Notamacropus eugenii: one gene and its partners. The protein of the gene in region 2 interacts with the protein of the main gene of each other region in a pairwise test. Links are inferred from orthologs where the notes say so. Each region holds a gene or a part of one and is shown on either strand. Other genes may lie near its edges. The genes, in order: RPIA, STK16, MIIP and ADAMTSL4.

What was found.
Region 1: the proteins of STK16 (region 2) and RPIA interact in binary tests that used the Homo sapiens proteins (3 or more experiments, as listed by UniProt). The two-hybrid records come from large-scale screens. The link is inferred for Notamacropus eugenii from reciprocal best matches to the Homo sapiens genes STK16 and RPIA.
Region 3: the proteins of STK16 (region 2) and MIIP interact in binary tests that used the Homo sapiens proteins (3 or more experiments, as listed by UniProt). The two-hybrid records come from large-scale screens. The link is inferred for Notamacropus eugenii from reciprocal best matches to the Homo sapiens genes STK16 and MIIP.
Region 4: the proteins of STK16 (region 2) and ADAMTSL4 interact in binary tests that used the Homo sapiens proteins (3 or more experiments, as listed by UniProt). The two-hybrid records come from large-scale screens. The link is inferred for Notamacropus eugenii from reciprocal best matches to the Homo sapiens genes STK16 and ADAMTSL4.

The regions. Positions count from the first base shown.
Region 1 is NC_092872.1:724,333,872-724,341,327, forward strand, and holds the start of RPIA (ribose-5-phosphate isomerase), read right to left. Parts: upstream 3,009-7,456; 5' UTR 2,973-3,008; coding exon 2,640-2,972; intron 1-2,639. UniProt on the Homo sapiens protein: Catalyzes the reversible conversion of ribose-5-phosphate to ribulose 5-phosphate and participates in the first step of the non-oxidative branch of the pentose phosphate pathway.
Region 2 is NC_092877.1:317,731,662-317,738,667, reverse strand, and holds the start of STK16 (serine/threonine-protein kinase 16), read right to left. Parts: upstream 3,003-7,006; 5' UTR 2,973-3,002; coding exon of another isoform or gene 2,796-2,972; exon of another isoform or gene 2,707-2,795; intron 2,703-2,706; exon of another isoform or gene 2,609-2,702; 5' UTR 2,540-2,608; coding exon 2,454-2,539; intron 2,030-2,453; coding exon 1,810-2,029; intron 1,502-1,809; coding exon 1,368-1,501; intron 1,175-1,367; coding exon 1,054-1,174; intron 906-1,053; coding exon 810-905; intron 332-809; coding exon 210-331; intron 6-209; coding exon 1-5. Other genes in the region: GLB1L (beta-galactosidase-1-like protein), read left to right, coding at 2,796-2,972, 3,425-3,538, 3,626-3,792, 4,150-4,300, 4,453-4,513, 6,159-6,253, 6,331-6,505, 6,591-6,879 and 1 more. UniProt on the Homo sapiens protein: Membrane-associated protein kinase that phosphorylates on serine and threonine residues. In vitro substrates include DRG1, ENO1 and EIF4EBP1. Also autophosphorylates. May be involved in secretory vesicle trafficking or intracellular signaling.
Region 3 is NC_092876.1:51,471,983-51,478,876, reverse strand, and holds the start of MIIP (migration and invasion-inhibitory protein), read right to left. Parts: upstream 3,006-6,894; 5' UTR 2,778-3,005; coding exon 2,603-2,777; coding exon of another isoform or gene 2,559-2,602; intron 2,470-2,558; exon of another isoform or gene 2,237-2,469; intron 2,071-2,236; exon of another isoform or gene 1,854-2,070; intron 1,510-1,853; coding exon 1,340-1,509; intron 1,193-1,339; coding exon 755-1,192; intron 193-754; coding exon 15-192; intron 1-14.
Region 4 is NC_092873.1:304,419,513-304,427,022, forward strand, and holds the start of ADAMTSL4 (ADAMTS-like protein 4), read left to right. Parts: upstream 1-4,498; 5' UTR 4,499-4,577; coding exon 4,578-4,597; intron 4,598-4,920; coding exon 4,921-4,978; intron 4,979-5,188; coding exon 5,189-5,523; intron 5,524-5,736; coding exon 5,737-6,460; intron 6,461-6,845; coding exon 6,846-6,948; intron 6,949-7,510. UniProt on the Homo sapiens protein: Positive regulation of apoptosis. May facilitate FBN1 microfibril biogenesis.

The DNA of each region.
Region 1 (7,456 bases), on a different chromosome or scaffold from region 2:
TCAATGGAAAATGCCCTTTAATCGGGCAGTGATATGCAGCTCTTGGACGGTCAGCCCTGCTACCAATACCAATCTGGTATGGGCCTTGTGAGTGGGCAATGGGTTAAGCCCAGAGCTCAACAGGAGGAGAAAGGGATGGACTGCTGCTGTTCTCTCAATGACCCCAAGTTTCTCCCTGAAACAAAGACCTATCTTTTTTCCACAGAAACAGTCTTCTGGTGATGCTGTATTTTACAATAAGCCATGGAAATCTACATTCTCCTAAGAACACAAGCTGAGGAGCACTCACGGAACAATGGGCCATAGAACTGTCCAAGAGAAGAAGCCAAAGTTGTTCTCCAAGACCTGAAAGGTCAGGATGGGGCTGGTCATGTAGTGAACCTAAGGGATAACCCATGAACGGCCCACACGCTCCACTGAAATTCATATAAAGTCAAATGAATGAATGAAATACATTAAATGTTTACCAAGGGCAAAGGCTATCAGGGGCAGGGTCCAAGCAGAAGAACTCAATGAAGATAGTGAGGAGAACAATAAGGAAGATGTCCAGGGGCTCCTCTTCCAAAGATGACATTGTAATCACTGCATGGAGCCCCTGAACGGCTCAGAACCATCTAAATAAGATCTTGAGTAAGTACTTTGGCACTTGGAGTGGGAGTGGGCTCCCAACACAGATAACAGGGCGCAAAGGTTAGGCGGAACGAATGAATTTCAACCTGTATCACTAAAGTGTAGAAAAAAGCCTGGAGAATACCTTGTTACAACTTGTGTGTGCTGAGGGTCTCAGTTTCCTCATCTATAAATGGTAGAGGTGGGGGGAGGATTAGAGATGATCTCAAGGCTTTCAACTAAATTTATGTTCAACTACTTCCTCCTCCTCCCCCATGATAAATGCATATACAGATAATAATGGTGGGTCTAACTGTAAGGGGCAGCTAGGTGGGACAGTACATAGAACGCTAGGTATGGAGCAGGAAGCCTCATCTTTGTGAGTTCAAATCTGGCCTCAGGCACTTCCTAGCTGTGAGACCCTGAGCAAGTCACTTACTTGCTGTTTGTCTCAGTTTCCTCATCTGGAAAACGAGCTGGAGAAGGAAATGGCAAACCACTCGGGTATCTTTGCCAAGAAAACCTCAGAAGGGGTCACAGAGAGTTGGACGCGATTTTAAACAACTGATCAACAAATGATTTTAAACTTTCCCACAAAGATCTCCAAGAGATCCTTTTTGATTTGAGGGAGCCCCTAGTAGAGTGCCCTTGCCCACTGGTGGTAGTTAAGTACCCGATGAACACATACAGGAATTTCAAAGGGAAGTGGGACTGAACAGCTTGAACATCTCATAAAAGGAAGCAGGGTGGGAGCCAGTCAGAACGGCCAAGCCCAACGTCCCCTCCCAGTAAGTCCCCCTGGAGCCCGGTGGCAGTGATGGGCAGAAGGCCGGACAGGGGTCCAGGAGCCTGCTGGGGAGGGGAGGTTTCTGTCGCCCCAAAAGAGCTAGACCTCGCTACCGACTCTGCCAACGCGGGCGCGCACACGATCAGAACTTCACCCCACAGGAATCTGCTTTAAGATGCAGGATAGACTAAAAGGGGAGGGGGCTCCGAGTCTGGGTCCTCTTCTGCTCTGAATACACCCCAGCACCCCCCGGGTACTCCAGGACAGCACTGGCCACGCAAGGACCCCCGACCCGGCGAGGCGCGAGGTCCTGCCCGCACATTCACCACCTTCCGAAGGCGGAGGCGCAGAAATGGGGTGCCTGCCAGGGTGCCAGGGCACCGGGCAGGACCAAGCCCGGGAACTCCCACGGGGCAGGGATATTCTCCTTCCAGGAGGGATAATGGACATAATTAACTTGATCGGTTGTAAATTAACTCAAGGAAATGGGCTCCGCCCAACTTTTTTCCCCAAACAGTTCTCGGGAGCCGGCTCACATCTTTATAAACAGGCATTTTCGGGGCTGAGGCGGGGGAAGAAAAACCAGGACTTCGGCAGACCCCGGCCCACTGCGGGCCAAGGTCGGCCCGCCCCCTGCCCCCCGCCCCCCGCCCCCCGCGGCCTCCTTGCCTCACCCCGCCCAAGTCTGTAAGCAGGCTACAGGTTCCCTCGGACCCGGGCCGGAACCAGGCCGAGGAACAGGACCGAGCGGCACCTGGAGCTGGGGGGATCTGCCCCGCCTCACCTCCCAACACGCTCCCGGACCCCCAAACCCCCGGGGTCCAGTGTGCGGATGAGGAAGCCGCCCAGGCCGGGGCCCGCCACATGGCCCGCTCCGCCCCCGCCTCGTGGGTCCCCCGAGTCACTGGGGGGGCTTCCCCGCCCGCCCCGCCCTGCTCCCCTCCAAATCCAACTTTCCGGGGGGCCGCCTCTGGCCCCCTCCATCCCACCAGTGGCGGGCACGCTGGGGCGCCTGCCCTCGAGGGGCTTCCATTCTAGGACCGGAGGCTGCCGGGCACAAGAGACCCTCCCCGCTCGCCTTTTACAGATTGGGAAACTGAGACTGGGAGCGGGGTTCCCGGAGCCTGGGCGCGCCAGGGGCGGGATTCGAACTCGTCTCCCAGCGGCGCTCTCCACGGCGCGGCCCCGGGTGGAACCTGGAGGGCTTCCCGGAGGAGGCTGACCCGGGGCGGGGGGCACTCACCTTCACGTGGTTTTCCACGGCCGCGCGGCCGGCCTGACGCTTGGCTTCCTCGGTCTTGGACATGGTCCGGGCGGCGAGTGAGGGAAGGAGCGGGGGCGCGGGAGCGAGCGCGGGAGCGGGAGCGAGCGGAGCGCGCGCCGGGGCCGCGGCCGAGGCCACTAAGTGTCCGCTGCCCCCGCCCGAGGGCTGGCGCTGGGGCGGCGGCACGTGCGGCTCTCCCGCGCGCCAGCTCCCCCCGCCCCCGGACGAGGCCCCGCCCCCGGCCCCGGCCCGCCCGGGCAGTGGGGCCAGGACCCGCCCGTAGAGCGTGCTGAAGGGCCCCGGGCGCTGCATCCCTGCCTCCGCCGGCCCAGCCGCGCCTGCCTCGGCTCGCCCCGCCCCGGACCGCCCCGGAAATCGGGCCCGCTCAGGAGGGAGGGCGCCGCGCGAGCCGGCGCCGCTGGGAAATGTAGTTCGGGAGAGGGGCAGACCCCCGCAACTGTCCGGGAGCTCGGACTACCAGCCCCAGAAGGCAGCGCGCCTACGGCCTCACGGCTGTCCGGGGCACGCCCCGGCTTATCCTATCCTGGTCTGAGAACACCTGCTCACGTGCTTGAGCCCCGAGGCGGCCTTGGAACCAGAGGCGGTGCGCACAAGCACGCGCCGGTTGTACAGGTGCAGCTAAATGACTCGTCCGAGGTCACCACGCCGAGGGGGGCGGCAGGTGCATTTGAACCAAGGTCTTTGATCCAGCCGCCAGTGCCCCCCTATGAAATGGGGGGCCCCCAAGGACAAGCCTCCTTTGGCGTGCGTGCCCTCGGTGGAAAGAGCGCTGGCCTGGACCCCAGCCCTCGACGCTCACCCTGAGACAGTCGTAAAGGCTTAGCTCCGAGTGTGAAGATGGGGGGATAGCGCCTCCCTCTCGGGGTTGTTGCCAGGATTAAACGAGATCACATTGGTACGTGGCTTCGCAGACCTTGGAAGTGCTTTGGTTATCCAAGCGGGCAACCCCCCGAGGTTACTTTTGAAGAAATTAAATAATAATCGCCAACAGAGCACCGAATAAATGAGCGGAGGGAAGAGCCTTTGTTAAGTGCCAGGCCCCAGGCATGGGGCCCAGGCCACAGACACCAGAGCGCTAAGACCTCGCGACTTCGCCTTCCACGTGGAGAAGAGCGCACGTGGGTGATGGTGGGGGGCTGGGGCCTGCGGGAAGGTCGTGGAATTCATCAGCCTGGGGATGGGGCAGTGGAGGCGATTGAGGGAGGGAAGGAGCTACAGGCACCTTCTCATCGGATTAAACGTTACACCTTTTATATAGATAACCCCCTCCCACAGGGACTTCCATCTCCCACCCCTTTTTGAAAGGATGACCCATGGTCCTCAGTCCCTTCATCTGTCAAGAGAGGCGTGGGAAGCATGGTAAAAGCGCAATAAATCTTCCCAAAGATTAAGTGAAATAATATTCATAAAGTGCTTCACAAACTTTAAAGCTAGCTGCCTTATTACTATTAAATTAACAGGGAGGGGGGAACCCAAGGGACCTGCAGGTCAGGCAGTATGTAACTCCATGACGTCAGCAGTCACACAGCTGCCACATTCTAGAGTGCTGAGATCTGGTACATGTGATAACTGCCCAAACTGGTGGAAAGGGATTGGAATGCTAATGGCCTGGAGAAGGAGCTTTCTTTTTTCTTTTATTTTTTTCCACATTCATTTTTTATTAGATTTTGAGTTCCAAATTTTTTTCCCTCCTTTCCATTGCTTCTCCAAGTAATCTGATATAGGTCATATGTGTGCAATCGTGTTAAACATATTTCTACATTAGTCATGTGAAGAGAAAAACAGAACAAAAAGGGGGAAAAAAACAACAAAAAATTAAAAATAGTATGTTTTGATCGGTATCCAGACTCCACAGTTCTTTCTCTGGATGTGGATATGTGGATAGCTTTTTTCTTCATGAGTCTTTTAGAACTGTCTTGGAAGAACTAAGTCTGTCAAACTCGGTCATCACACATTACTGTGTATAATGTTTTCTATGTTCTACTCACTTCACTCAGCATCAGTTCATTCGAGTCTTTCTAGGTTTTTCTGAAATCTGCCTGCTCATCGTTTCTTATGGATCAATAGTATTCCATTCTATTCGTATACCACAGCTTGTTCAGGCTTTCTGCAGTTGATTTCCAGTTCTTTCCTGGACACCACAAAAAGAGCTGCTATCAATATTTTTGTACATGCAAACCCTTTGCCCTTTTTTATCATCTCTTTAGGATTACAGACCTAGTAGTTGTGTTGCTGGATCAAAGGGTAGGCACAGTTTTATAGCCCTTTGGGCATAGTTCCAAATTGCTCTCTAGAATAGTTAAATCAATATACAACTTCTAAATCATGAGGAGTTTTCAAAAAGGGGTCAAAGATGAAATCTGCAAACTATATGGTCCGGGCAACTTGACTTATATTCCTGACAAAAATCTAAAACACATTTTAAAAGGTTTATTCTATATCTTTTTTTAAAAAATCACTTTTATTTCTTCAGCTCTGTTCAGCAGTTTGTGCCAAGCCAATGGATATTGAATTCTGGGAATGAATAACCCATGGCTGTTTGTCAAACTGGATGGAGTGCCAAATCTAGAATCAGGAAGACCTGAGTTCAAATCCAGCCTCAAACCCACTACTTGTGTGGACAAGTCACTTAACCCTGTTTGCCTCAATTTCCATGTCTGTAAAATCAACTGGAGAAGGAAATGGCAAACCACTCCAATATCTTTGCCAAGAAAACCCCAAGTGGGGTCTTGGAGAGCCGGACACAACTGAAATGACTCAGCAGCAACAACAAATCCATGGTTGAAGGCTGGCAGGGCAAGATCTTTGATAGAAAAGTGGGACAAGAAGACAGTGTAGACATTAATTGGATCCCAAAGGGGTCAAGATAAGAAAAGGAGGAGAATGTAGCTAATGAAGGGGTGATGGCTTGAGAAAAAAATGAGAAGTAAAGGGATTGGAGATTGTTATGAGGAATACTGTTAAGGGTTACAAGGCAGAAGGAGAAGTAGAATGATGTTAAATTATGATCAGATGAGGGAATTCAAGAGATCATGAACTTGGAAATTAAACACTTACAGGAGATGATCAGATCAAGAGTTTAACTGTGTAGTTGAGATGGGGTGGAGAACTTTTGTTGTTGTTCAGTCATTTCAGTCGTGTCTGACTCTCTTTGACTCCATTTTGGGTTTTCTTAATAAAGATACTGAAGTGGTTTGCCATTTCTTTCTCCAACTAATTTTCCAGATGAGGGAACTGAGGCAAATAGGGTTAAGTGACTTGCCCAGGGTCATACTGCTAGCAAAGTCTCTGAAACCAGATTGGAATTCAGATCTTCCTGATTTCAGGTCTGGCACTGTATTCACTGCACCATCTAGCTGCCCTGAAGTTTAGAGGCCTAGGGTTCAAATCTTAGTTCTGCTACCTCCTGTTTTTTGGGGTTTTTTTTTAATTGATAAAGTCATTTAAGTTCTATGGGCCTTGGTTTACTCCTTTATAGAACAAAGCGTTGGACACAATTGTCTCTAATTCCTAAGCTCCTTTGTCCCCCAATATCTTCTCTGCCCCATCATGAGCCCTCATGCTACTGTGATGTTTAAAAAGTTCGAGACATGGTTCCTGGGTAATTAGTCATTTTATTAATAATGCTAGCATTTTGTTAATAAAAGGATTGGTCGCTTGACTGTCTATCTCAGACTGAAGATGAATCATGGTGGTGGGCTCACAGTTTACATGCCCTTGGAAGAGTGGGTATTCTTGAGGGTGTCAATCAACTCTGATTGATTGACAATTAATGGAGAAAATTAATATTACAATGAGAGGTAGACCTAATGAGGGGCTGGGGTGGGGGATGTAATTGATTACATCATTTACTTCTCAATTGCCCAGCCTAGGGAATTTAATCAAAGAATTTATCCCCACCCAAAACTGTGTAGAGTAAATGGGCTTGATTAAATTCTTTGTAAGGTTGGGTGGGGTCCGAAGAACCAAGAGGAGAAAGTTAATTCAGTATCATTATCAGCAGTGACCTTCAGAGATTTAACAACCTACAGAGTTCTGAAAAAATCCTGGTCCTAAATCAATAATTGGTTATATGAGGGAGAAATAATCATTTATCTCACTGCTTGGTACTCAGATAGGGAAGGACTAACTGGAGCTTAATTCCTGGCCATGACAGGGGACAGGGGGAAAGAGGAGAAAAGGATCTCCAGCTCTTGGGGAATCAGATCTAACCACCTGTCTGTGGGTGTATAAGATGAAGACTGACCATGGTACCAAGATATATTGTCCAATTTGATGCTGACTGTGGATACTAGAAGATAAATAAAATGGGTGATTCCATGGAACTGGGTATATGCTCAGGCCCTGCAGGGATGAACCTGCTCCTTGACTTCTTGCTGAGTGAAATGCAAGGCCTTCACTTTGCTGAGACAATGCAGCAACTTGTATTGGTCCCCACAATCGTAGAACTGTATAATGGAGTCTAGATGGCGAAGTGGACAGAACACTGGACATGGAGTCAGGAAAGCTTGAGTTCAAATTTGGTCTCAGATGCTTCCTAGCCATGTGACCCTGGGCAAGTCACTTAACTCTGCCTCAGTTACCTCAGCTATAAAATTGGGGGGTTGAGGGGTGATAATAGTAGCTCCTACCTCACAGCATTTTGGTGAAGACCCATTGAGATGATATTTGTAAAGTCCTTAGCACAATGCTTGGCACAAAGTAAGTGCTTAATAAGGCACCTGTTCTAGGAGATTGTGTCCAAGGGGATTGGCCACCAAGTATCATGGGGATTA
Region 2 (7,006 bases):
AATGCCTGAGGAGTACAGATGTGGCAAGCTACACACACAACACATACACACACACACGCGCACACACACACACACACACACACACACACACACACACTCTCTCTCTCTCTCTCTCTCTCTCTCTCTCTCTCTCTCTGTCTCCACCCCCTAAGGCATAAGGTCTTCCATGTCATAGAAAGTCCACAGCTTCTGCACCTCCATGTACTCACCTCGGGTTCTGGGGAATGCTCAGCTGGTTCTGTACTGCCAAGGCCACACTATCCCCTTTCTGGAACACCATATCATAGGGACCTTCCCCAAACATCATAGCATACAGCACACAACCTAGGGACTAAGCACACATCTATGATTTCTTAGGAAATAGGACCCAGGGAACTACTGCTCAGCAACCATTTATGAATCATCTACTAGGTACTGGGCCAGACACTGCCAAGTGCTCTGTCCTCCTGCCCCTTGATGTGGGCAAAGGAAACTGCTTAAGCCAAAGTGAGAAGGGCTGCAAGTCATCTCACCATGGCAGCAGGGATCTAATTCAGCTCTGCTGCCCTTTGGGTTTAGAATCTTCCCTGGCTGTGGAGGACAGATGGCGCTTTGGCTGAACACCTCCAGGCCTACATACTCCTGCTCAGAGACCCTGGCTATACCACTTCCTGTGCACTGCCACCAGTTTATAGAAAGGAAGTGGAGGAAAAGACCAGCATGACAGGTTTCCTGGGGCCCCAAACTGTAGAAAGTAAGGCAAATGTTCCCCATTTTTCCCTTGAGTCATTCCAAAGTAGATAGAAGCCTCTAATTCCCTGTAGGCTCACCCAAATGTCAGTTCGTTCATCAATGACACAATGGCTCTGTACAGAGAAGAGCTCAGGGGCACGATATGAGATGGTACAACGTTGGGCTGCCCAGTCCTGGAAAAAATGATCCCAGGAGGTAGGAGTGGGTTAAGGGTCATACTACCACCATGTTCAAAAGGAACATGTTAGATCCTGAGGAGTGTAGCCTGACTTGCAGCGCTAGTTCCACCCCACCCCATCTCCATCGATAAACAGAATTCACCTGCAGGGCTAGTGCCTGTCTAGAGCCTTCCACTCGAATTCGTGCCTGATTCACTGAACCCAAGTCCATTAACACTGGCTGCCCATCATCTCCAAGCAAAATATTGGTTGGTTTCAGGTCCCTGTAAGAAAGGAAGTAGGACTGATGGCCCCCTGTTGAGTGTTACTGGAATCATATGTACTCAAGAAGCACAGGCAGGCTTCTGGCTAAGAAAGCAGAAAAAAAAAGGTCTTTGGCCTATCTCGTGATAAATATTCATTTTATCCCTCCTCTCACACCTTTCCCCAGCAGGCATATGATACCTTCCCACTGACCTGTGGGCATAACCCTTGGCATGAATGGCCTCTAGGCCTCTGCAAATGCCTGACAGCAGCAGCAGGATCTGATCCTCTGACAGGAAGTTGCCTTTGTCTTTCAGCCTTTCCACTTCATTCCATAGTGTACCCTTCTGCAAAACACAAGTCTCTTCCAATTCCCACCGTGACTGGCTACGTGTTCCTTCTCATTTGAAGGGGCTCCCCATTTACCAGGCTCGGGTTCTGACTTCTGCCAAAGGTGATGAGGGTCTTCAATATGAAAACCCAAAACGCCAAACACATTCACTCAGTAACCATAAGTGCCTATGGGCAAAGCCCCAAAACACAAATCCTGATTCCATCAATTCACATGTTTCCTTTCTCATAGTGTCCTTCCTTAAAACTTTCAGAGTCCCCAGAGAACCATGTTACCCAGTCCCCAACTAGGAGCCAGTCTCACCTTGAAGAAGGGTAGCAGCAGCCAGGCCTCCTGCTTGGAGCCCCGTTCTGTCAAGCAATAGGCTTCAAGGCGAAGGATATTGGGGTGCTGGAAGAGTCGGTGCATGTCAGCTTCTCTCTGGGCCTCTTCCTGGTCCTGTTGCTCATGGCACAGGATTCTCTTCAGGGCATAAAAGTGCCCATCGTGCAGTCCCTCCACCAGGTCCACGTAGCTGAACCCACTTAGAATCAAAGGTCCATGGACACATTATACAATACCCATGTGGGGAGAGGTTCCCTAGGGTATATTTCCCCCCAGAGCAGAGACCTCCCTAGGTGGGGGCTCCAGAAGTTCTGAAGGCAAGACCAAGCCCTCCCAGTAGGCAAGGGGAGTCTGTGCTGGCCAGACCGGGTAAGGCTTTCCCAACGGGTTCTGGATCCTACATTCTAGGACTGGACTGATGAACTTAGAACAGCCAGAGGTGGTTCAAATTCCATCTCTGACACCATCTATGGAACCCTGGTCAAGTCACCTGATCTCCTTGGGCTTAGGTTTAGTCCTCTGGAAAATGCGGAGCCGGAGGAGACGGCGGGGGTCTCCGACAGATATGGGAGCCTACGTTGTCTGCCCGGCCTGGGGGTGGAAGGTGAGCAGGCCGCACTTACCCCTCTCCCAGTTTCTGTATGAAGAGGTATCTCTTGTTGTCGATAGTGAGGGTCCCTCGGGAGCAGATACACAGCGTGTGGCCCATGGTGCCTCAGTCATCCTCAGGGCAGGGGCGGACGCTGCCCACCAACAGGGGCAGGGACGGTCCGAGGGGCTGCGAAGGGATCACGGGACAAGGGGGCTGAGGCCGGGCCCCGAGGCCCCCGGAGGCTCCCGTCCTTCCGTCCCCCGGCCTCCCGGGGGGCCCCAGGGCGCCCCGCGATCGGTGGGGGAGGCGGGGAGGAGGGCCGGTGCCTCTCCGCCCAGCAGGGGCTGCAGCCAGCGATCGAGGGAGGAGGGGGATGGGGCCCCTCCCTGCCCCCGTCTCTGGGCCCTCCCCACCCCGGGGGACGAGTTCCCGCGGCCCTCAGCCCCAGGGATGGCCGCCCGGGAGCCCGAGCTGCTGCGAACCTGGCCGAGGCGCGCGAGCGGCGACAGCGACCGGAAGCGGCGGCGTGTCGTCATCTCTCGGCGCCGCGGTAACGGCCCCCCCCCCCCCCCCCCCCCGCATCCTGGCAACCGCGCGGCCCCGGGACCGCGGAGCCCCTGGAACCCCAGAGCCCGGGTTCGGGCGGCCCGGCTCCGGGTGCTGGTGCCTCAGGCCTTAGCCTACCACGCCCTTGGCAGCCCCCCCCATGCCGGAGGTAGGGATCGGGGGCCGCAGGGCTGGGCTCCAGCCTCCCCCTCCGCTCCAGGCCCTTGGAGCGCCTTCTCCTCCTTCCGGGGGTCGGGCCCGGGCTCCTCCCGCCGCCCTCCCTCGGCCCCCTCCCCGAGGCGCCTTCATCCCTTGCTCCAGGCACCCATTCATCCCCCTTCCAGTACGGGCGGCCTACTCGGCCTTCGGGTTGCGTGGGCTTGGGTTTTGCTACAGGCGGGGCTCGAGGTCTCCCGCTCGGGGCCCGCCCCCCCAGCCGCTCTTGCTCCCGCCCAGGAGCGGGGCCGCGAGAGGTGGCCGAAGGCCTTCCTGGAGCTCGGAAGCCAGGGCCGCGCCATGGGCCCCGGGCGGCAGCTCTGGCTCCTCTTCCTGCTCCACCTGCTGACCCAGGTGAGCCCGCGCGGGCCGCGGAGCTGGGGGAGGAGCGGCCCGGCGCACGACCCCCCCGTGCTCCCCAGCTCTCTCCTGCCCCCCCAGGCAGCGCCCCGATCCTTCGTGGTGGATCGGGAGCGGGGCGTGTTCCTGCTGGACGGGGCCCCGTTCCGCTACGTGTCGGGCAGCCTGCATTACTCCCGGGTCCCCAGCCAGCTTTGGTCCGACCGGCTCCACAAGATGCGCATGAGCGGCCTCAACGCGGTGCAGGTGTAAGGGGCTCCCCGAACCCTGATCCTTGAGACCCCCTCTTCGGGGCCTGGGCAGGACAGAGGCGAGCAGCATGCATGCGGGAGATGGCTGCGGACCGTGGGGTAGGGGACGACGACAGGCGGTGGCAGAAAGGCTCCTAGGATTGCAGCTTTGTGAAGGCCATCCAGGCATCCACAGAGGGGAATCTGGGGCTCGCAATGCTTAAGAGTCTTGTCCCAATGGTAGTGACAGGAGAAAAAGAATGGTAGAATGTCCTCACCCCCTGAGGCTCCCTGGCTCCTGGGGGTAGGGCTTATTACCTGGAACCTCCCTGGGCCCCTTCCCACTGTGGGGCCCCTTAACCCCTTTCTCCCCAGTTATGTGCCTTGGAACTATCACGAGCCACAGCCTGGAGTCTACAACTTCCACGGCAATCGGGATCTGCTGGCTTTTCTGAAGGCAGCATCCAGTGAGGACTTGTTGGTGATTCTGAGGCCTGGACCCTACATTTGTGCAGAGTGGGAAATGGTGAGTGGGAGAAGGGGCGGGACAAAGATCATTCATGTCATTTCTCACCGACCAACCCAGCCCATTCCTTTCCACCCTCACTCATCAGCTCTTCTTTTACTGTTTACTTCCATTTGTATCTATTTCTATATTTGTCTCTATGTCCTCCTCAGGGTGGTCTCCCATCCTGGCTGCTTCGAAAACCTGACATTGTCCTTCGAACCTCAGATCCAGGTGAGTTTGGGTACTAAAGGTCAGAGTTAAAACATATAGAAGACCAGAAGTTTGGCTGGTCAGGCACTACAAAATCAGAAGGAGACGGCAAAAGTTTGCTAAGTCATTAGGACATCCCAGATACTTTGAAATGGGCCTGGTTAGCAGGTCCTAACCTGCACATTTCAACCAGTAAGAAAGCCTTTTTGGCATTTAGCCTCATGTAGTTGGGTTGCTACCTAAAGGAAATTGGCTTTGATCCAGCTGCTCCAGATAGCATGAGGCAGGGAACCTCGATGTAGGGAGGCCTTTCCCATCACGTTTCCTGCCACCTTACATGGTGGTTCAGAACCTGTGTCAGTTGCTCTTATCAAGTCATTCAGCAGGGCAGGAAATAAGGTTCCTTCCTATGGAGAATTCCTTAGGAAGTTTCCTTGACTAAGGTCATATTCAAGTACTACAGAATGTATTGAAAAGGGGACAAAAGGAAGAATGAGGACAAAAGGGTTGAAAAGTACTGCCCTGAGCTGATACTCAGACCTCGTCCTTAGAGTCATCCAGAAGTGGGTCAGTGGATCTTGGGGAAAATCTCCATCACTTCAAGGCCTTCAAGGCCAGGCTTGGGCAATCACTTGTTACAGATATTATCAAGAGTTTTATGATTCATGGGAGGGGAGGGGGGGGAACGAGAACAGATTAGATAACTCAGTTCTCTTCTAACCATAAAATTCCATGCTTTAGAGCTAAAGGAAAATTTCCTAGGAAACTCAAAGATACTACATTCAAATAATATAGATGGTATTATGATTTTATGATTTTAAGTCTTCAAACAGTTCCTTATTGTTCATAGGGGAGAGAAATCTGTCTCTTCACACTTTAGTGGCATTAATAGTTCCTTTTTTTAAAGTTCCTCTTTGAAGCTCAGAATCTCTGGGTTAGTGACTGTCTCCTTGAATTAATATTCCTTTATGGTGGCACTTTAAGCACCTCCTTAGGTAGTATTCTGTCCATTTCAATCCAGTCCAACAAGTATTTAAAGGCACAATGCTAGCATTGGTAACAGACAAAACGTAGTCTCTGACTTCCAAGATGCAAATCATTAAGCATATATATGCTAAGTAGAGCAGGTTTTATAATGCTTACACAGAATGGCTCTGGTGCCAAAGGCCATCAGCTCAATATCTTGTCTGTCCTATCTGACTCTGTACAGGATGCATTGGTTGGTCTTTAGGGAAGAAGAAAGGAACTCCCTCCTGTTGAATGGCATCAGTGTTGGTGGCATGCCACCCTTGCCACCTTCTCTGTGTTTCTGGGTTTTGTCTGCTCTTCTCTCTTCTTTTACTCTTCCATTTCCTTCCTGTTTTCCTCAGTTGGAGCCTTATGCCTGTACTGATAACAAGGGCATGGCTTTACCTCCTTCTTGTAGCACTCCAAGGTGCTAAACTTCCAGGCTTCCTGTGTCAGAGTCTCAGTGAGCTGTAAGGTGGGTCCCTGCTTGGTTCTGAGTTTTTAGTGATTCCCACATTCCTTGGTAGGAGAGTTGGAAGAGACCTTTGCCCAAGGTGAAGCATGCTCTGGGTCTGTGACCATCTCTGTTCCAGGAGAGCTGAAGGCTGACTGGGGAGAAAGGTCATGGTGGAGCTCAGGCAGACTTCTTTCCTTCTAGACTTCCTTGCTGCAGTGGACTCTTGGTTCCATGTCTTGCTGCCCATGGTGCAGCCCTGGCTCTACCACAATGGAGGCAACATCATCAGTGTCCAGGTGCAGAGGCAAAGGTGTCTGGGAGGGTAGGGAAAAAGGTCTTTCAGTGTAAACTTACTGTCCCATCTCTCTGACAGGTGGAAAATGAATATGGCAGCTATTATGCCTGTGACTACAGATATATGAGACACCTGGCTGGGTTATTCCGGGCACTGCTGGGGGATGAGATCTTCCTATTTACCACAGATGGGCCTCAAGGGCTCAGCTGTGGCACCCTACAGGGACTCTATTCCACTGTGGACTTTGGCCCAGGTTACCTCAGGAGTGGGTATGGGTAGGGTCTGGGGAAGATGCCCTCCGACCTGTGACATCATGTACCCCTTCATTCCTACTGCAGCCGACAACATGACTGAGATCTTTGCCATGCAACGGAAATATGAGCCCCATGGGCCCCTGGTGAGGGGGGCGGGGAAGGGGAGCCAGAAGACAATGCCCATGAGAGAGGGCTTCGATTGGTTCCCTTTTCCTTTCTCCCTCATCTTTTCTCTTCATCTAAATCTCCAGGTGAACTCAGAGTACTATACGGGCTGGCTGGACTACTGGGGTGGCAGTCATTCGACAAAGGATGTAAAATCTGTGACCAGTGCACTACAGGACATTCTGGAGTTGGGGGCAAATGTGAACATGTAAGTGGGCTGTGGAAGAGGGTTAGGGATGGTTAACTGAGCTTCCAAATGCAGATAACTTAGGCAAGTCACACCATGTTCCACCCCTGCCCTTCCCTGTCTCAGGTACATGTTTCATGGAGGCACC
Region 3 (6,894 bases), on a different chromosome or scaffold from region 2:
ATATCCCGACTCACCGGCAATCACATCATAACCTAAATAAGGTTTCATATGCCAGCTCTCATCAGGAATCAGAAAATTCTTCTTCTGCAGCCAGTAGGGCAACTGTTCCCCACACAGAATTGAAGACGCAGGCGGCCAGTGTGGCTGCAGGCTAGTGGATCGAGAACCCAACCAGGGAGGTACCTGAGAGGCCTGAGAGGACAGGGCCACCTGTCACAACTCCTGCCTTATGGCACACTTTCCCTGCGTTCCTCTGCCAGACTACAAGCACCCAGAGGGCAGGGACCATGGATGATCCAGACGTATAGGACCCCCAATGCCTGGCACAGAATGAGCACTCAGCAAATGTCCACAGGGAGATGCCCCTCTGGATTATCACCCCAAGGATGAACAGGCCACGGGACTGCGTAGTCCATACCTTCCCCTGGACAGACAAAAGGCAGGGTGGGGAGGTCTTGGATGCCAGAGGAGCCCAAGCTAATTGTGACAGCTGCTGGAGGATGCCAGAGTGCATCAGGATGGCCTCACCCACTTCCTGCAGGCTTCCAAAGCCAGGATGAGCAGGCCAAGGGCCCACAAGTGCATGTGCTGTGAGGACAGGGGAGGCTCAAGCAGCTCGGGAGAGAGGAGAAAGGGCATTCTGGGACAGGAGAAGAGCCTGCAGGGAGGAACAGAACCGGCCTCCTTCTCTCTCAGGGCCCATTACTGGATGGTGGCTGCTGTCCCACCTTGGTCCACCTCCCATTTCTCTTACCTCGAAGTTGTTCCACTGCTGAGTAGTCAGGATGGACCTTAGGCTTCCCACGCCTTCTGCTTCATAGAACGGCCTCTGGACACCAGAGATCAGGGGATCAATGGTGGGCCCCAAGTCCAAGGCCTTGGGAGAAGACAGCAAGCTTGCTGAAGTGGGTCTGGAACCAGGTCTGCGGCAGTCCTTGAGTTCCTGACCCCAGGGCTGGCTGGATGGAGGGGCCTTGGGGGGACTCACACTCTGCACAGTCTCAATGTTACACAGGCTGCTCTGGGGGGCTGGCTCCTGGCTCCTGCTCTTTTGTTCTTGCTCCAAGGCATCTCTGTCCCCAGAGGCAGTGCCAGGCACTGGGCAGGGGCCCGACTGGCTGCGGTGTTCAGTCAACACCGTAGTCTCTTCATCTCGACAGCACCAGGACTCTAGTGACAAGGGGCTGCTCCCCTAGCAGAGGAGGGAATTCTGCTCCAGTCTCCATGCACCCCCCCATTTCTCTCCCCTTCTTTCTTCTCCAGGACTCCAGCCCAAAAAACAGTTAAGGAGCCTGTTACAGGTCAAACACTGGGACAAGTCCCAGGAGTAAGCACCTACCTCATCATTCTTGAGCTTTGGGAACTGCTGGACTGACCCCTTGGCCCAGGCCACAGATTTCCGGATCTCCTCTTGTCCCACCCGAAGCTGCCGGAGGAGCTCTAGGTTCATTTTCCGAAGCTGGGTCAAGTTCTCAGACTCTGGCATCTTGAATGTGCTGTCTGGAATTTCTGCAAAAGAAGCCAGGGGACTGGGGTATTGTCTAACCCAGGAAGATAGAAAAATGGAATGAAGGTTCAGAGGGGACACTACCACTAACCCACCAAAGAACCCTGGTCAGCACCCTTTCCATCCACTCAGGTCACCTCCATACAACCAAGGCAGCAGGTGACCATGGTCCCTAAGTTGGGAATTATTATCAAGCAAGTCCCTTTCATTATGCAAACTGCAGGCTTTAGAATCCGAGACAGCCAAACCCTTCATTTTACAAATTTGGAAACTCAGGTACAGAGATGTTTAAATGGTGGATATAAATAAGGGCACAGGTTATAGGCGGAAGAGCCAGGATTTTAACCTGGGTCCTCTGACTCCAAATTATGCTTTCTCCTCACCGCACTGTAAGAATTATAAGCTAATTATTCCCACAACACCGATAGAATGCAGGTAACCCGGCAGGACGCTCTGGGGAAAGGGAGATACATTGTTACTTCTCTATTTCCAGCCCTCTACCTCCCATCTCCAGCCCTCAGACCCCAGCCCAGAGAGGAGGATCATTTCAAAGCCCCCCCAGCCCCACTCGTGGATTCTGCCAATTATTCCCTGCGTGACCTTCTAGGCTAAGGCACTACTTCAGCTCTCCGGGCCTCGGTTTCCTCATTAGGTGGTGTCTACAGACCGGGGATCCCCCCAGCCCTTTCAGGGGTCCTCTACCCTCCCCCTCCCCCGGCCCACGCGGACCAAGGCTGGAGCGGAGTGGCCCTGCGAGGCCTCGACTACTAGGCTGCCTCGTGGGTGGGAGGTTGGGGGCCTCCCTTCGCCCCCTCTCCCCCCACAGTCCAGCTCAGGCTCCAGGGCCGCCCCTGCAAGGCCCTGGATGGGCGGTGTTTTTTTTTAAGCAAGCCTCAGTTTCCTCGTCAGTGAAATGAGGCCCCCCAGGCCAACCGCAGCGCCAGAACGTGGGCAGGAGTCACGTGGAAGCCGAGGGGAGGGAGGGGCCGGCGGGGAACCCCCAACCCCGGGGGGCGGGGGCGCACGTGGCCTGGGGGTGCGCGCCACTCACCGACCCGCGGGGGAATGGGGCAGCCCCGGAAGTCATCCACATACCGGCTCCCATCCCGCCGGCCCTTCCTGGCCCTGGACAAGGCCATCCCCCGCCCCCCCTCCGACCCGCGGACCCCGGGCCCCTCTTTCCGCGGACAAACGGGGGCAGCCGCCAGCTCCTGAGAAGGACGCCGCGGGGCGGGGCCCAGGGGCGGGGCGCGCGACCTCGGCGTCCCATTGGCCGGGCGCGAGACCGGGAGGGAGGGGGCGGGGCTTCCGGCACAGCGGCGGGGCGGGGAACAACAACACACACCCGCGGAAACGCCCCGGGACGTCCGGAGGCGGAAGCGGCGAGGGCGGCCGGGCCCACCCCCACCTCCCGGGCACGGGGGAAGGCTGGGGTTGCCCTCCAGGAAGGCCAGCCAAACCCGACTCCCCCACTTGGAGAAACTGAGGCCCGGGGGAGAGGGGGGCGGGAAGCACGTAACAAGCAGCGAAGCCGGCCCCGACCCCCCCCCACACCCCTCCCCGCCCCCAGCTCCTTCCACGCCCGGCAGCCCCGTACCAAGTGTCCCCCGCTAGCCTGGAGGCGCCTGGAGACCAGAGGCCACGTGCTCTACGCTGGCTGCAAAGGGCTCCTTCCGGCACACGGTAGGCCTCAGTTAACTGATCCCGGGGCGGGTGACGTCACAGTCGATGTCACGTGACGAGCCCCTCCTCGGCTCCGAGTCCCTTCCCAGTCTAGGGCTGGCCTGGAAACCCCTGACAACGCGGGGGCGGTGCTGGGCCCGTCATCACAAAGCCTTTATGCAGCGCTGCCCGGGCAGCGCCCTCCTCCTCCCGCCCTGCCCGTGGTCTGCGCGGGCACGGAGGGGAGGGGCAGAGCGCCCGGAGCCCCGCGACGTTTAAACGTCTGAGCCGGGCCGGGCCCCACGCCGACGGCTACATGCGTGGGGCGCCACCCTGCCGTCCTCCGCCGTATACAGGCGTGTGTCTGTGCACCCCGCTGCATACCCACGTGTGTGCCCGGGCAGCGAGGTGGGGCGGTGGGGGAGCCCCGGGCCTCAGCCGCTCACTAGCAGTGTGACCTTGGGCAAGTCACTTACGCTCTGCCGCAGTTTCTTCAGCTGTAGAACAGGGGTGATAATAATAGCCTCCACCTCCCAAGGTTATTTTGATGACCAAAGAAGATAATATTTGTGGAATATGCGCCTGGCACATAGTAGGTGCTGCGTACATGTTAGCTAGGATGAGGATGCAAGTTAAGCCATTTGGTGACTGCTCACCACAACTGATGAAGGGGGCTCATCATTCAGCACCCCTACTTCTCAGGTAAAGGGAGTGTATTCCAAAATCAGCCATCAGAGACGAAACAGTGGTTAGTGAATAGATAGAGGGAGATCTGCCTGGGTTCAAGTCTGGTCTTTAACCAGTGCCCCTAGACAAAACAAAAGAAAAAAACAACTCTGAGTCTCAGCAATAGTACCTGCAGACCTCACAGGGATATTTCAGGGATTCAGTGAAATCATGTCTGTGTATTGGCTGGGTAACATCTAGAAGGTCCCTGTAAATAAGACATACTCAATTACATTCAATAAACATTTTCTTGTTAAGCACTTGCTTTATATGTGACCCTGGGTTCTGGTTCTCAGGATACAAACAGTTCCTGCCTTTGGAAAGCAGGCTTTCATTCCACTATGATGGAATGCTGGCGCATGACTTAGCAACTCCCTTGAATTGACTTCAAAACAAAATTGAGTTACCTCAAGCCTAGAATTCTACACTTAGAAAAAGGAAAATTTCAGAGAAGGTGCATATGCCTGAATCCAGCATGAATTCCACATACCAGATCTTAGAAAGAAGGAAGGTCCTATGTTGATAGAATTCACAGCACAGTGCAAATTTGTACAAGTTTAGCGATTACATGGTACTGAACAGTATAGCATATTAATTGCATCTCATTGCATCTGATCTGAGTTCTATGGTTTTAATTTATTTTAGTTTAATTTAATTTATTGTTATTTTCATTCATATTATTATAGCCAGACAGCTAGGTGGTACCTGGGATAGAGAGCCCTGGGTCTCATTAGGGAGACCTGAATTCAAATCCAGCCTCATATATTTTATTAGCTATTTGACCTAGAGCGAAATCGCTTAACCTCAGTCTCCGTTTTCTCATCTGGAAAAAAGGGAATAAAATTTTTGTTGTCAAGATCAAATGAGATAATATTTGTAAAGTGCTCTTATTCTTAGTTGTGTATACTGTTCTCCTGGTTTTACTCTTCATCTTCATCAGTGCGTGCAAATCTTCCCACATTTTTCTTAATCCTGCATTTGTCATTCCAATATGGCATCCTAATCTTCCCAACCTACATGAACTTTAATTTGTTTGCTCCCCAAGAAGTGCTGTTCGAGACACTCTTGACACTAATGAAGTATCAAGGAAAATTTATTACAGCAGAATTCAGAGGAATTGAGTACTTTGGCCAAAGGGGACCCTTAACCTCTTTTTGGAAGAAGGGAGCACTGAATGCTGAAGCAAGATGAGTTATATACTGTTAGTTCAAGATAGATCCTCTCACCAGGAGATGGATTGGTCCATTCTACATTAGGTCCCCATCTTCTCTACATGCCTGCTATGTAACCAGCCTTGGTGTGTGATCCCCCGTCCCAAACATGCTTCAACATAGGACCTATGATCAGAAAATGGAGGGATAATTTTATGGGGGGTATGTCTGCTTATATGCATGAGGTTCATTAAGCAAGCGCAGTGAAGAAAAGCCTTTTCCAAGTAACTCTAGGTCATTTTCTTGGCTAGTTCCACGTAGCTGTAGATTTGGTTACTTTATCAAGAACTTTGTAATTTTCTGAAGACCACTGTCTGTCTTTTGATTGGTTGAGTCTGTTGGTCTTCTTATTATCTGACTTATTTTCAATGACTTCATCAGCTAGTAACTTCTGTGGAAACAACTTTTTGCTGTGTCTCACGGCACCTTGATTTCTGATTTTTTTGTTACTACCAAAACTACTATGATGAATGTTTCGGTACGCGTGGGACCTTTTTGTCTTTGACCTCCTTTGAGGGGGAGGGGATAGGTGGGTCACAAAAGTCACTTTTCTGACATAATTCCGGATTGGTTTCCAGAACAACTGGACAATTCACAACTCTTACCATTCTGGTCCATTGGATACCTCAGGTGTTCTTATTCTCTATCAGTTAGCAGTGACTTGGAGCACTTGTTGAAGTTTTACTTCTTTGGAACTGTTTATACCCTTCAACTACTTATCTAGTATATTCTAGTTTCCTCTGTAGTCTTAGAAGTTTGAGTCAATCCCTATATGTCATAAATACCAGACTTTTATCAGAGATGCTTAATGCTGATTTTCCCTCCACCAATTCCTAACACCTCTTCTTATCTCGTCCAAGAGTCCTTAATCATTTTGTCCTATGGACCCCTGTACCAACATGGTGAAGCCTTTAGGCTCCTCAGAATGGATTTAAATGCATAAAATAAAATACATAGGACTATAAAGGACACCAATATTGAAAAATAGTTATCAAGATTAAAAAAAAGTTCATGGACACCAAGTGAAGGAATCCTATTTTAGGGATATGCACTGATACAGTTGTGCAATTGCTTTAATATATTTTATGTAATAAAAATTGTTTCTTTTATTTGTTATAATCAATTCTCCACAAAGAACTTTCTAATGTGCCATCTTGGCGTGGAGGTGATCCTGAGTTCTTAAAGACCAAGCCAGCATGGGCTCAAGCCCTGGCAAGTTCTACTGAGCTGGAAAGTATTTGAATGTGACTTTAGCCACAGATTTTCTGCTTTCGGAAGGCCAGTCAGTGAACAAAAATTTATTAACTGCTTACTCTGTGCCAGGCAATGTGCTAAGCGCTGCAGACACAAAAAAAGGCAAAAAGTCTCTATGCCCTCAAGGGTGTCACAGTCTAATGGGGGAAACAACAAGCCGACAAATATAGACAAACAAGATAAATAGGAAATAATTACAAGAGGGAAGGGCATTAAAACCGAGAGGGGCTGGGAAAGGCTTTCTTTAGAAGATGGAATTTTCATTGGGACTTGAAAGAAGTCAAGGAAGCCAGTAGACAGAGAGTACTGGAGGCATAGGAATACACAGAGAAAAATGCACAGAGATAAGAGAAGGACTTGACAGGAGAGGTCATTTCACTGGATCAAAGCACATGTATAGGGGAGTAAGGTGTAAGAACACTGGAAATGTAGGAAGGGGTCTGCAATAGGCTTTCAGTGGCAAACAGAGGTGATCCTGGAGGGGAGAGGGAGACACTGGAGTTTATCTGGGAAGGTGGGGCAGGTGACAAGGTC
Region 4 (7,510 bases), on a different chromosome or scaffold from region 2:
TTTACTAAGGCCTGCCATGTGCAAATAAGTCTCTATGTCAATCAAAGCTCCAGTTGATATCTCTCTAGGCAGAGAGCACTGTGCTGAGGTCAGGAAAGGAAGGAAGGAAACAAGCATTTATTAAGAATGTATGTGCTAGGGACTGAGTTAAACACTGTACAATAGCATCTCATTTAATCTTTACAACAACCCTGGGAGTTATTGTCCCAGTTTTCCAACTGAGGAAACTGAGGCAGGCAAAGGTTAAGTGATTTATCCAGGGTCAAATTTGTATCTGAGGTCAAATTTGAACTCAGGTCTTCCCGACTCTAGACTCAGAATTTTATTTACTGAACCACCTAGCTCCCTACTGGGGAAGCTGAGACTGGTAGATTGTTTGAGCTCTGGAGTTCTGAACTGCAAATGGGCTCAAGTTGATTGGGTGTCTGCACTATTGGTAGGCCCCTGGTAACAGAATGCCACCATGCTTCCTTAAAGAGGGTGAAGCAATATAGGCTGGAAGCAGAGCAGATCAAGCCTTCCATCCCCATCAGCAGAGCCCTCCCTCACTTAAATCCAATTCACTTGCAAGTCAGGATATCACCTTCCTGATTTCATGGTCCTCTTCTAGAACAAAGGACAAACAATGAAATAGGACCAGGGGTAGGGAGACCTGGAATCTCTCCCCAAAAAATTAGGTAAAATTTTAATGGATAATCAATGGAAGGAGACATTTCACGTGAACGAAAAGGTGTTGCGCTGGACCTGAGACAGTAAATTTTAAAAGTAGTTCAATTTGGCAGGGCTGTAACACACAATGAATACTAGAACAGTGGCATCCTGCTAGAGATACAAAATATCCAATCAGTCAAACATTTAAATATAATAATATATTCTGATGTGGCTTTACAGGTTTCAAAGCATTTCTGCAAAGCATCTCAACAGAGATGTTGGGTTTTATGGAATTTATCTGGGATTATGGAATCACAGATTTAGAAGCAGAAGGGAGCTGAGAGGCCGGAGAGTTCGACCCCTTTATTTTACAGAAGAAAACTGATGAGCACGGCGTGGGGCGATAGTGGGAGTGGGGAGAGACAAAGTACAGAAGAGGCATCCGAGAGGAATGGAGCGGGGCAGGGGAAGGGAATGAGAAGGAAGGAGAGAAAGGGGGGAGAACAGGAGGAGGGAAGAAGAAAGGAAGGGGAGAAGAGGGGAGGGAAGAGAAGTAGGAGGGAGCGCGCAAAAGGAAGGAAAGGGCAGTTTCAGGTGCTAGTGGGAGTGGAGAGATACTAAATATAGAGGAGGAAGAGGAGTGGGGAGGAGGAGAGGAGAGGGTCCCCAGCCCTCACAGCGCTCACAGTTTTGACCACCCAACTCAGCATCCCTCCACAAGCCTCCTCCCCATCTTCCCCACGCACACGCGGATGGGAGAGACACCAGGGCCCCAGGCTCCAGTCCAGGTGCGGCAGCTGTCCACTCCCCCCGCGTTTCCCGACGGGGCCTCCCCCAGCCTGGCCAGCCGCCCTCCTGGAGTCTTTGCCTGGATAGCCCCAAGCAGCAGAAGAAGGGAGGGATGGGCAGCCGGTGCTGCACCTAAGGGGAGGCGGGGACCTGAGGCCCGTCCCGTCTATCCTTAAAAAGGAAGTTGGGGCGGGTCCCACCATTCCAGACATTGGCGAGGCGCCTCAGAGCATCGCCCTTTTCAGAGCCGTCCGAGGGTCCTGACCACCTGGCCGGACTGCCCCGCCCACGCTCTGTCCAGTCCAGAGGACCCCAGGTTGGCGGTGAGGGTCGGAGTCCCTGCCCAGGCACCCGGGGCGTCCCAGCTGGGGCCGGCTGGCTGGAGCAGCCGAGCAGGGATCTGGTGGGACGGGAGCCCACGCGGGAGGGACGGACGGACAGACGGAGGGAGGAGCGAGGGAGGAGCCTCGGACGGGGGCGGAGCCCGAGCTGGAGGCGCCAGTGACCGGGAGCCCGGCTCAGGGGCCGGGCCGGAGCGGCCGGAGAGGAGTGGAACGGAGCTCGGACGGGGAGCCGGAGAGCGGAGGGGCCACGAGCCGCGCGCAGGTAGGACCCCCGCTGCCCGGCCCGCTCCCCCGGAATCCCGTTAGATCGCTTTCCTGGAGCGCCCCGCCCCCGAGTATCCTCGCTCCTAACCGAACTCTGTTGGGGACCCCCCCAAACTTTCTCCGGCAAAGGGAGCCCACCTCTCCCCATCCATGATCAGATTCAGCGTCCCCACCCCAATACATGCACAGCGCCCCTTCTCTCCATCTTCACTCCAGTCAGGACAGTTCTGTTTCCCCCAACGCTGGCTTCCCAGGTCCGACTTGGAATTCTGTCTCTGAGGAACTGACGGGGGGTGGGGGGGAAAGGAATGCAGGTGGCTGGCAATCCTTTTTTTTTTTGCCTCAGACCCCTAAGGGTGGGAGATAGGGGTGGCATCCTGGATAACAGTTCAGACTCCAACATAAAGGGAAAAGGGAGCAAAAGGGGAAGGGTATTCAAGAAAATTGGACATTAAAGTGCACCCCACCCCCCATCAACACATTTTCCATCCCAACATCTCCAAAAAACCCTAGGAGGAAGTACAAGGGTGAAAGGGCTATTCCTCTTCTAGTTTCTGGTTTGCTCTTTGATCTCCACTAGACTGGGGAGGGGGTGTGGCCATAAACAGGTCAGTTCGGGATGGTCAGATAGCAGTGCCCATTCTGTAATCAGGGAAACTTCTAATGACCTCTGCTAACCCCCAGGTTGGGCAGAAAGGTACCAAGTGATTAGAGAGGCCAGAACTGAGGGGAGTACAGACTGCCTCTATATCTGTCTCTGTCTCTCCCTGCAAGGGGGGAGAAGGTATCGGCCCCCTGCCCAGCTGTGTTGGGGAGGGTGGGGCCGGGGACTTTTCCAGAGAGGGAGCCAGGCCTGGCCCAAGCCCCAGGAGCTCACGTCACCCCCACCCCTCTGGCCCCCACTTCTCTTGGGAACAGCCAGAGCCAAATCGAGCTAGGAATGGGATTATGTGTACTAAGTAGAGACCTGGGGAGCCATAGGCATAGACCTGGGGTGGCAGGGATATAGATCTGGGGGAGAGATAGAGAAATGGCCAGCAGACCATTCCTCCTCCAACTGGAAGTTAGTTTGGTTATCATCTCTTTTCTGCTTCAAGGTAAGGGCTTTTATCTCTTCCCTAAGTGAGCAAAGGGTTAGGAGCAGACAAGTAGACATTTATGTGAAAGTATGAAACCCTCTCTCATCCACCCTGCCTGGAACCCCACCATGGCCCCCTGCCCCATAGGCGTTGTTGCTGACCTCAGCAGGGCCAACCCAAACCCTGGGGAAGGGAGGAAGGGGCTGCCAGGCCCAGGCAGAGATGACCCCAGCCAGTTCTGATCTGACCAGTCATTTCCCTCCCCCACATTTTCAAGTCAATGGGTAATTGCAGGGAGGAACAGTAAAGATGAGCACAGATCCTTTTTATGCACCTCCATCCAAAATCTGTCTCTTTCATTCTTTCCCTAACCCCATGGTTGGCCCAGTTCTGTTTTGGTCCCTTGGACTCCTCTCCCGGGTGCTTCTTAGCTCCAACAGAAACAACTTTTTTTTTCCTGGAAAGCAGAACAGAGAACAGGGGAGGGGGCCCAGGGCTCAGAGTCTAGGCAAAGGAGGGAGGTAGGGAGCAAGAAAGAGGAGTAGCAAATCCACAGCTTCACCAGGGCTTGGAGTTGAAAGCTCTTGTTGGTCTACATAGGATCAGAACTAGATTTTAAGTAGGACTTCCTTACTTTCCAAAAAAGGGGGAGCCAAAGGCTCTTTGCTGCTTAGGATTTCTCATTGCAACACCTAGCACATTATCTTAGTTGGGCAAATTGATGAGTGACTGAGCTAAGACAGGGGCTTCTTCTGGATTGCTTGGGCCAGTGGTTCACATCCAGCTACAGAATTGTGCTACTGCTATTTAAACCATCAGCCAGTTTACTTGATTTACAGTTTGAACTGGAGGCAAGAAAAAGACAAGAGATTTCTAATCTTTGGACCTGTAGTCCAAAGGAAAAGCTGAACCAAAGGATATGAAAGTAGGAGACCTCCTGAGAAGAGAGAACCCAGTGGTATGTACCCTCTCTTGGTACCTGCTGAGGTGGGTATGTAGAATGTGCCCTGGAAGCAAGAGGACTCCTGACGGATGGAGCTTGGTACTTGAGCCGGGATAGAAATACCAGAAACCAGAGATTAGGAAAGGGAGATTAATTAGGGTATTGAGGGATTTGGTAGGGGGCAGTGAGGAGAAGGTAAAAGGGATGACTGGGAAAACCAGAGCATTGGGACCCTCAGCTTTCCAAGGGAAAGAAAGAAGACAGCAATCCTGGTCTCTCAAAATAGGGACAGAGAAGAGGAGGAGGTATTAGGTAGTGTTATGTCCTAACTTCTGTCCTTAACCTTGAACATTTTTATTGAGGGGACATAACCCCTTCAGGTGTCTAGAGAAGAGTCAGGGTAACCTTTATTCCTGCCTTTCTTTCAGGTCTTTCTTCACATCCTAAGCCCTCTAGATTTCTGAGTAGTGTGTTATCTCCAGAGGACTGGGGAGATTAGGGAGAACGATGGAGAAATGGGGAAGCAGGTAAGAGGTGAAAATGGGAAGGGGTAGTGGGATCTATCCCTGGGAGGTACAGGAGAAGAAAGCAGAAAGATGGCAAGGGTGGAAGAATGGGTAAGTAACCCCTTCTATTTTCTGACAAGCTGTGAGACCAGATGTAGGGGGCCAGGCTTTGTACCAGCTGTTCCAGAAATCTTAGTGCCATTTTAAGCTTTCATAAAGCTAAAGTTGCAATAGATATGAAAGCTTACAACTGTACTAAGACTTCTGGGACAGCCTGTATAAGAACGATTGTGACCTCAATTCTAGCTATTAACTTTGATTACTGACTGCCTCTGGCTCCTCAGACTAAGACCGCCTCTTATGCTGCTCCTGCTCCTTCCTCAACTCAGCCTAGACCAGAAGGTCAGTGAAGAGGTTGGAAGGTTTTGCCTGCTCACCAACCTTCTAGAACCCTGTCTCCCCAAGAATTTCCTAGAGCCCTTTGCTCACCCCATGTCTCCCTCCTCATCTAATTCCCCAGGCCCTTCCCTATTTGATGCCCCAGTCATTCCCCCCATTCCCATGCAGGTTACTCCAATCCCTCCTTGATTTGTCTCTTTTTCTCCCAAATAGATATCCCCTCGCCACTCACGACAAGCACATCCTGAAGAAAGTAAAATCCCTGAGGGTGTCTGGGGTTCATGGGGTCCATGGTCCCCTTGCTCCCAGCCCTGTGGGCTTGGGATACAACGCCGGAGTCGAATCTGCCAGTCACCTACATCTTTACTCCAAACCGGGTTGCCTCTACCACCCAGGCCACCTCGACATCCGGAACCCTTGACTGCTCGATCCCGGAACGCCAGACCCCAAACCCCTAGGGAGACCCTCCCTCTCTACAAGCCGGAGCCAAGGGGGAGAAGTGGCCCTCTAGAACAAGAGGAGGCTAGAGAGACCTCAGCCTTAAGGAGGTAAGGGAAATGAGGTGGGAATTGAAGGTGATATATCTCAGCAGGTAGATAAGATTGTGAATGGAATAGGTGAGCCTTAGAACAAGAGGAAACTAGAAACTGGGATAGGAAATGAAGTTGATTACAGGAGTGAGGAACAGAAGAGATTCAAAATGTTAGTTATATGGGAGAAGTAAGCAGAACCATAACTCTGTAACTATAACAATTTCCTAGGTCACGTGTTCGAGATCCTATCAAGCCAGGAATGTTTGGCTATGGGAGAGTTCCCTTTGCTCTTCCCCTACATCGGAACCGGAGGCACCCACATGGACAGCCCAAAACGGAATTCCCCAGTGATGAGGCTCCTCAGACTCTATTTCCAGAGGCAGAACTCCTCCAAGACTCTAAAACAGAGGATTTCCGAGCTCTGACTGTCAAAACAGAACCGCCTGTTAATACTCAGCTCCCCCAAACCCAGATCTCTTCTACAGTACTGCCCCCCCAGGAAGACCTTTACAGTCCCCAGAATCTTGGGACAGAAACACCTCCTAATACCAAGTTTCTAGAGTCGCAGATACCCCCAAAGACAACCAACTTCAAAGCAAAGTCCACCCCCACCCCATCCCCCAGAACAGGCAATTCCCTTAATCAGGTCCACCCACAGAGATCACATCATTCCCAGCAAATGGGACCAGAATGGAGAAGATCCCCCCATCCCTCCTCCTCTGCCCCCCGGGGCCAGGGCCGAGGCCAAGGTCATCAGAGAAGGAGAGAGCAGTGGGCACCCAGAAATGCCCATCAACAGGCTGTTGAAACTCCCCCTCACCATTCAGAGAGTTGGCTGCCTTTACTCAGCTCTGGCTCCAACTCAGGTCCCCTCTGGAGCCTTTTTGCCCCCAGTGCCTCTGCCCTGAACTGTCCTGGAGAGAAGGAGCAACTGAGAGCCTGTATCCAGAAGGTGAGCTCTGCCTTGATCCTGGATCATCTAGGCTTCTAGATGTTCCTAATTTGCATAGAAACCAAAGCTGTGCTCCAATAATTTGGGGGAAACTGTTCTGGAAAAGAGTGAGGGATCTAAATTGGGATCTAAGGTCCCAATTTATCTTATCTAGTCCTGAGGATAGATAACCCTCATGTCTGAGCCCTAGCTCCCTCCTTTGTAGGCCTCCATTTTCTCCCTGGGTTATCATCTCCTAGATCTTTGTCGGGAGGCCAAAGGGCATACTCTCCTAGTTTCTGATTCCTTCTTTCCCCTCTGCAAATCACTCCATCCCAATCCTCAACTGCTACCCTCCTATTGTTTTTTTTCTTAGCCCTGACAATTCTGTTTCCCCCAACTTCAGCCTTGCCCCCCTGAACAGCCAGATCCACGGGCCCTGCAGTGTGCCGCCTTTGATCCTCAGGAATTTATGGGCCGACTCTACCAGTGGGAGCCCTTCACAGAGGGTGAGAACTGAAACCCAGGACCCCAAGACTAGGGAGGCTACACGTTGGCCCCTTTCTAGCCCTGAAAATCTTCCATTTGTGCATTATTTTCCTAACTGTATCTCCTGCCTCAGTTATCCCCTCTTTTCTTTAGTTTCTCTCTTTGAGGCATTATATGCCCATGTGGGAGAGTCCCCTTCCCTACAGGACAGGGAAAGGGGATATATTTTCCCTGAATTCCTTAATTTCCGCCTTTCCCTCCCCATCAGGCAGTCTGTGCTGTTTACTTAGCCTGAGTGGCTGGGCGAGCGAGGGGGCAGGAGGGGAGGTGGGGTATATATAGATGGCTCTTTGTGCTTCAGAGGTCTCTGCCAGTACCTAGGAGGGAAAGAGGGAGGGGATGTGTGTGTGCGTGTGTGTGCCTTGTGTGTTTTAGGGGAAACTAGGTCTGTATGATGCCTGATCTTCTCAAAAAAGCAAAGCAACTAGAAAACGATGGAATCATGCTGAGGGAAACTAGCCCCCTACAACTGAATGGTTTTCACTGTCCCCTCTGGCGAGGTCAGCTGTATCCAGAGGTGGA